Tribolium castaneum: one gene and its partner. The protein of the gene in region 1 binds, or shares a complex with, the protein of each later gene. Links are inferred from orthologs where the notes say so. Each region holds a gene or a part of one and is shown on either strand. Other genes may lie near its edges.

Region 1 (3,481 bases):
TAAAATAATGTACAAATGTGTATTAAAACGGGATTAGAAAATGTTTAACACAAAAATAAGCACGGACTTGTTTTTGTGTTTAATTTTTAAACTTTCATCTCGCGCTTCTTTTCGTCTGTCAGTCATTTGGCAGCACTGCCACATTTTTTGCCGCTAGTGTGAGGATTTGAAATGTAATTTAAGAGTAAAAAATGCCAAAACGGCCTTATCCGGATTACGATATCGTACAACCGGTGAAAAAACAACAAAATAGTTTATCAAAATCGCGGAAAATTCGCTCATCGTCGTCAGGTAACCACATTGAGGTTATGTCAGTTTTTTATTATTTGTTTCAGAGCGGACGCTCCAGTTATTATATAAGGGGGCCTCCAAACGCGAGAAAAATGAGGTAGAATATGTGAATCGGTGTGAGACTTTATTAATTTGATTTGTAGGAACCTCATTCACTGATGTGTACTGTATGTTCAAAAGAAGCCCCCTCGGGGGTCATTTGTAACTATTGTGAACACGCGTTATGTTTGCAGTGCACAAATATGTGCCATAAATGCAGTAATGGGTTTTGTAACGATTGCTCATTTCCCACGTGAGTGGCTTTGTTCCGAGTGGCTCAAAAAATTAAATGTTTTTTTTTAGATACGATCATAATGTCGCAGTTTGTTATTCCTGCTACAGTTAGCGCACAATTGTATTAATTTATTGGGTAAAGAAAACAATCATTATGTAACATGATAATATTTATTGATATAAAATATAATATTAAATGAATTAATCATCCCAGTCTTCGTCTTCGGTATTATTCTCGTTGCTCTCGCTACGAATGGGCGGCGGAATCATGGCCGAGATTTTTTCTAACGCACTACTTGCGTCCAAACTTTCCTGCTTTTTAGTACCTGAGATGCCCTTCCTGCGCATGGAAAGCTTGGCGTGCAAATCAGCCATCAAGTCGCCCCCAGTCTGTAAAACAAATAACTAATTATTAAACTTTTTCAATCAACAAAAGTCGAAAACTAACCACGGGTTTTGCCGTCGTTTGCTCCCTGTCGGCACTTGTGGCTTTCAAATTTTTGGCGCCCCCCGCTTTCCTGATGGCCTCCATGAGGCTGGCCCGCACGTCCAGCTGGGGCAGTTCGGTGATTTTGGGGGCTTCCTCCACCTGTTCAGTGGGTGGTGTGGGCGGTTTGGGCGTTTCAACCTTCTCTGGGACTTGCTCCTCAATTTCTTTGGCGGGTGTTGGGGGCGGCGGGAGTTCGATTTCGGGGAAGTCCTCCTTGGGCTGGGGGTTGGCGGGTTCGATTGTGGGCAGGTCGGGGATGTTCGGGGTCGTGGTGACTGAGGGGGCGATCCCGGGGCCCAACTCCGTGTCGTACCGCAGGTCGTCGGCAATGTTGGGCAAATCGGGCAGATCCAGGGGCACGTCGAGCGCCGGGACTTCCCCCAAGTTGGGGGTGTAGAAGTAGTTCTGGGTGGAGGAGCGCGTCAGGGTTGAGCGTTCGCTGATTGAGAAGGGGGCTGCCCCGATGCTCGAACTGTCGTTGTGGTCTTGTTCTTTGATTTGTTGGGAGATTTCCAAAGGGTCGGACATTACGAAATTCGTGTAGAGGTTTTTGCCGGAATTGTAGAGGAGTAGGTCGTTTACGCATTCCGAGTCTTTGGGGATTTCCCCCAAGCCGCCGAACGTCTCTTTGTTCTCATTTTTTTTGAGTTTCACGTGGTAGATGTACAATTTATCTAAATGTTCATCGTTTGATGGGGCTTTTTTCTGCTTCACTTTATGTCGTACTAATTCAGGAGGTTTAACGTCGCTAAATATTGAAATATAGGGTTGATTTACATCGGACGCTGGGTATTTACAACTTGAAAACACTTGTGTTGCTTTTTTTGCACCGTTCAATTTGTTTATTTTCATTTTCACTTTATCGACACGTTCGGATATGTTTGATATCTTTTTTCTGCTAGATTCAATTCTGTTATTTATATGTTTTAATATGTCATCTGTTACGTTCGTTAAATGATTTAATACTTCAGCCACCTGAACGATTGTTTCCTGTTTATTCAAGTTTTGAGGGATTACAGGTACTTTGTAAACATGATTCATTTTAAATAAACTAACTACATTAATTAATTAAAAAAATGACACTACACTCTACACTTTTTGCAGGTTATGTTTTGTTTTTTACGTCATCTTATCACAGCAGTGTCGCCATTCGCAAGCTCAATAAATTAACATTTACTAGTAATTTCAAATTGTGTTAGGACAAAAAATTGTTTTAGGTTTTAGGAATAAAAATAAAACACATTGACGTATTAATTTCTATATTACGGCATAGAAAGAAGAAGACGGCGGACCCGTGGGTCACGCTGTGAATGATGTGATTTGTGGATTAAAATAAAATATCGAAAGAAAGATATAGATCTAAAGATAATTTGTATACAGAAGTACGTTTAAAAATGTGACAATTCTGTCTTTGAAAGCCTTAAAACAGCCTTCAAAAACAGAGTCGCAATTCCGGTTTCTTAACAAGAGTTGTTGATTGCTCTGCTGTAAGTTGATAAAGGCAAGTTATTGTGGAGTATAATTGCTTCAGTAATTTCTTCAAGTAGAGCAATTAACTTGTAACAATTTGTCGTAATATTGACAATAACAATAATAATTTAAAATGTGGAGGACCGTAAAAAATCCTCATTATAAAATAATACTTTCCAAAATCACTAACGTCAAAACGGCTAAACAAACTGGTTGCATTTAAATTATTTTAGTGCTAGAGGGTGTTGGCACTACTTAATAAAAAGCGTATCAATTCAACTGGACTAGCGTCTGGGATGAGACAAAACAAACAAACCATTGGACTTCATCACAAAATCAATCAGATACACTTATTAAATCCATTAATAAAACCAGAACGAGTTAAGTACGTAACTTAATACAACTAAAACAATGACATACTAGACCTGATAGTGATTACATATGCACGAGTTTTGTTTCAAACATGTAAGTAACGTATTTTTATTCACGGGAAGGCGTTTCAACATTGCGCCAATTTTTATTAAAATTAAATAAGATCAGAAGCCTTACCCATGAATCAACAGTTGAAACAACGTAACGATTTTTTCACAATTAATGTTTCATAAAATCCTGAGATATGTAAATAAATACTAGCAGAAAAAATACTGTTTGTGTTAAGTAATAATACTTTTGATTCAGTAAAATTATGAAACATGAATTGGTTGAGCAACCATTAAAAAATGATCAATCCTGCATTTATTATAGCTAAACTATCTGGCAACAACTAACATTGACTTAATGCTACCGTGTTCCTTTATTCCTTCACCCCGTTTATTATGGATAAAACTTTATATTTTTAATACCTTAAACGAAAACATCAATAATCGGCAATCAAGCCAAACCCGCTTACCTATAATAGTTAGGCTTGAAAGGTCCAGCTTTATTTAGGCCCATATACTTAGCCTGTTCGTCCGTCAA
Region 2 (4,270 bases), on another chromosome or scaffold:
CAATACAAAAATAAATTCAAATGCGTCAAGGACAATGGCGGGAAAATTTCTCCGAGAAATAAAATACGTCAGATCAGAAAATCGCCAAGTGGGCCGCGGAAAGCATGGCTACCACGACTTGCTCGAGAAAATGGAAATAAACAAGCAAACTAACTAAAAACGCTCTTTTCATTCACAATTCTGATCCATGATGGATCTTAATCTTTGCCACTCGTTAGCGTAGCATCAAAAATGTCCAACTCTGTTGATTCCAGCGAGCTTTATGAGACGCTTTGCATTGAAAAACCGGACCAAAGTGGTCAATCTCCGGGTTATCGTGAAATTTGCAACGAAATCGTCAACTCGCACGCGGAAATCTTTCTAGAATCCGATGTTATTAAAATATTAGTGTGGCATCTAGCCTCGCACGAGGACGCCTCCAAGTTGCTATTGATTTCGCCATATTGAATCGAGCAAGCGATGCTAGCCTCAACCCGGGGTCCATTGTATATGGCGGGATGCTTTCCAAGCGTGTTTACACCGCATGCCATAATGAAAAACAGTCGAAAACACCATGGCAACAACAAATTTAGCATCGTATTGTCGCAAAGCCGCCTCCGCGCCGGGAAAAAGCCCCGTTCACATGGCAACCATCCCGCGGAAAACGCGTGAAAACGGCGTTTCCGCGCGTTTTCCACGCGAAAATCCCGACCACAACATCCAACGGCCATGTGACCTTATCGCAAAGCAGCGTAAATGCGAAAGAAACAGTCGAACTCACCTCCGCCGCTCGCTTCGTGCCTTTTAACTCGCATTTGGCGTCGGGCGCACTTTTGTCGTTGTCGATTTTTTCGACAGCAACTTCGTTATTTTCTTTCGAACTCATTTTGTTTATATTCCTGTGTGGGTTTCACGCTTTATCGAAAAGTGACGTTCACCAACGTTGAACACTACTGACCGGCTACTCGTTAGCTTTGTTCAAAAATTAAGATGGCGCCGCTCAAACCGATCGGCCCCGGACTTGGACGAGTGACCGGCTTTCGACTCCCTAAACTATTTATTCACACCAACCGCCAAAAACCAAAAGACAACAAATTCCAAGCTTTTTCGGTGTCTCGGACCCAAAAAACGTGCGCCAGATTTTATGAAATTAATTGCAAGGTGTTTGCTCATGAGGGTTCCGAGAGCACGGATTGAGTTTTACGAACCGGACCGAGATTAAAAACGTGGTTTGAGTATGCCACCGCCAGGGGCGCTCTTCAAAAAATTTCCCTCCACAATCACATTCATTTTATTATTATGCAGAAAAACAGCCGATTATTGACTCAATTTAAAAGGGAACTATTCGGCACGACTTGTTACCCACTAATTAAAACGCCTTTCCCTTGTGGCCGCAAAAATGCGTCTTAAAAACTTTTTCTTCTATTTTTCCTTGCGACCACGTGAAACGAATTAAAACTCTATAAACTTATAACGAAACACTTTTCTATCTTTCATCCAATATAGCAATTCAAAATTCGCGCCAATGTAAACGACGCATGCGCATAGTGTGACACGTTGCATCTCTCTCTTTTTTTTGCAATAAAGAAAATCCCAAGATGGTAAGCAGGTTTTCAATCAAATATCTCAAAAAATCGCAATAATCGGCCTTTGAATTACCGAAAATTTAGCGAATTCGTGCATTTGGCGTCCTTGGAAGGGCACATTCCTGTTTATTTTCGCGTTTTGAGGACGTTTGATGAATTGTGGGGTTATGTCATTGTTTTTAGGTTAACGTCCCGAAGCAGAGGCGCACCTTCTGCAAGAAATGCAAGGTGCACAAGTTGCACAAAGTCACCCAATACAAAAAGTCCAAGGAACGTCACGCTTCGCAAGGTAGGAGACGTTACGACAGGAAGCAGCAAGGTTTCGGTGGACAAACCAAGCCCATCTTCAGGAAGAAGGTATTTTTTTACCTACTTTGAGTGTGGGGCTATTGTGTGTTTTTAGGCTAAAACCACCAAGAAAATCGTGCTCAGGATGGAATGCACTGAATGTAAATATAGGAAACAGATTCCCTTGAAACGCTGCAAGCACTTTGAATTGGGTGGCGACAAGAAGCGCAAGGGACAAATGATTCAGTTCTAATTGTTTGACTAAATAAACACATTTTGTAAAAATTCATAACGTGTTTTATTTATACTTTTAACAATGTTTTTTTAACACAATTAATTAACCGAGGAACTGTCTTGCGTATCAGTTGATTTGGAACTAAAAAATAACGGACGTGTTGCTGATTCGCCAGTGATAGTAGTACTTACTCCAATATGCAAGGGTCAAGTCCCTCTGTTTGCATTTTCAGCTTGACAGCAGCTGGGGGAACCCCAAATTGCAACATTTTGAAAAAGCGTTGATATCGCGGGTCTGACGCAACATCAGGCTCTACCTCTACATTTTTTTCAATTTGCGTCTCCTCGTCTTTAACAGGAGGCAGATCTAAATCGTTTTGTTTAGGCGAGTCCTTTGCAGTGTTTTCTTCTAAATGCGCAATTGAACCTAACTAACACAACCGACTCACTTTTGCGCCAAATAATCGGAACTTAAGGCATTCTAGCATTGTTCAATACTTACTTGCGACTCAAGTATAAGTAAAGAAGCCTCAACTTCTTGCAGTTTGTACTCGAATTCCATCAAACGCGATTCACACGACTGTGCAAAATGGTTTAAAAACGACACCGTATTCATTACGAAATGATTGATAAAAGCAATCGTGCGCTTTTGTTGAATGGGTAAAATCTAAGTGGAGAAGTTGGACGTGATTGTTGCTCGAATGGGTCGCTTTTTTCAAAGACTTACCTGCGTGTAATCCACATTTGGATCAATTGAGGAAAGGTCGTTCACTTGCATTATTTACATTATCTGAGTGAAAAACACTCAAAATTAGGGGGAATCAAGGCATCGGCACAAGTTTATTGAATTAATTGGCTCCAAAGGGACACAAAGAACCTGAGTGACAGCTGTCAAAAGTGACGTTTGAGGTTAGATTGTGGCGAAAGGATCGCTTTTTATGCAATTAACAAACGCAAACACGCTCAATAAAACAGATTTATTATGCCAGATTTATAAAATAACATTGCATCTTGTAAAATATAAAAACAATCACAGTATAAATAAACTTGATATAGACTAAACTACAAACCTTAACAATTTTATAAGAAAACTATCATTGAATTTAGGGCGGTACACAGTACTGTTATATTTAATGTCAAATATTGAACTCGCTTTTGCATTACTTAGACTTAAGTAATGGTGGTTTCATGGAGCACCCTTGTACATATCACTAGCTTGGCAAATATTATCTAGCGCGCTATTGGCCAATCGCGTTAAACTATCAGTCATATTCGGCTCCTGGCGCCCCTCACTCTCGTCCATAAGCGATAGATTTTGGGTGAAAGTCTCTGACAAGTTATTTGTCTCAAGCATGCTTAAATCACCCGAGTTTAAGTCAATCGGTTTCAACTCCAATTGTTGATTGTCCAGATTTAATAAACTGCTTATACCACTTGGCGTTTCACTTAAATTAACACCACTGAGATCATTTTGGGCGGAAGGATTCCAATTCATGTTTAACATATCGCCGACTACTGAAGTCGAAGGCATATTCCAGTTCATCATGCCTCCGATTGGCGGAAGCACGTTCTGGAACAGAGGGGCTTCCGGGGGCGTGGGGGCCACGTAATGGGGCGACACGTTCGGGATGGGCGCCTCGAACATCTGCCCGCCGTACGGCGAAGGCGCCTTATCTAGAAAAAAACACTAAAGCGGGGAAAAATATAAAATTAAATTACCTCTGGGCTCGACTTTAATGCCTTCGGATGGAATGTTGAGTAGGAAGGGTTGGTGCGTCCCTAACAAAAAATCATTAATAAATTGGCCAAATCACAAATTAACTTAAAATCACGCAAAACTACTAAACAAACCAATTGTTAGCCAACATAAGCTCAACCAATTAATAAAACAAAACAAGTTATAAGAAAAAATCATGCAAAACATTCATGTACCTTAATTCCGGTGACAGTTGGCTGCAGCTTATGACGCAATGAAAGACTGTTTACTTGTAAAAAACTTTAATACTTCAGCTGATATAAAGATATAAAGCCTTTAGAAAACACTAACAATCTACCTTTAAACTTTCCAAACAATTGAACATCAACACACTTAAAATTGTATAACTTTGTGTAATAATTCCGATCACAGCCCCATTGATGGATGGGGGATTTCGATTTTGGGCGTAATAGGCGACATATCGCGG

Evidence for each region.
Region 2: wash (region 1) and CCDC53 share a complex: the UniProt entries of both Drosophila melanogaster proteins name them as parts of the WASH complex. The link is inferred for Tribolium castaneum from reciprocal best matches to the Drosophila melanogaster genes wash and CCDC53.

What each region holds. Positions count from the first base shown.
Region 1 is NC_087403.1:4,501,194-4,504,674, forward strand, and holds wash (WASH complex subunit 1), read right to left. Parts: upstream 2,197-3,481; 5' UTR 2,096-2,196; coding exon 1,013-2,095; intron 955-1,012; coding exon 766-954; 3' UTR 717-765; downstream 1-716. Other genes in the region: uncharacterized protein LOC103314773, read left to right, coding at 192-291, 336-388, 435-583, 634-676; adenosylhomocysteinase-like 1, read right to left, coding at 3,360-3,366, 3,414-3,481. UniProt on the Drosophila melanogaster protein: Acts as a nucleation-promoting factor by activating the Arp2/3 complex to induce actin polymerization. Participates in both linear- and branched-actin networks.
Region 2 is NC_087402.1:710,927-715,196, forward strand, and holds CCDC53 (WASH complex subunit 3), read right to left. Parts: upstream 2,997-4,270; 5' UTR 2,866-2,996; coding exon 2,815-2,865; intron 2,755-2,814; coding exon 2,590-2,754; intron 2,519-2,589; coding exon 2,280-2,518; intron 2,230-2,279; coding exon 2,187-2,229; 3' UTR 2,107-2,186; coding exon of another isoform or gene 1,969-2,106; 3' UTR 1,923-1,968; coding exon of another isoform or gene 1,749-1,922; 3' UTR 1,581-1,748; coding exon of another isoform or gene 1,578-1,580; 3' UTR 866-1,577; coding exon of another isoform or gene 761-865; 3' UTR 760-760; downstream 1-759. Other genes in the region: acidic leucine-rich nuclear phosphoprotein 32 family member B, read right to left, coding at 761-865; RpL36A (large ribosomal subunit protein eL42), read left to right, coding at 1,578-1,580, 1,749-1,922, 1,969-2,106. UniProt on the Drosophila melanogaster protein: Acts at least in part as component of the WASH complex which may regulate wash nucleation-promoting factor (NPF) activity and is required for its membrane targeting during endosomal sorting.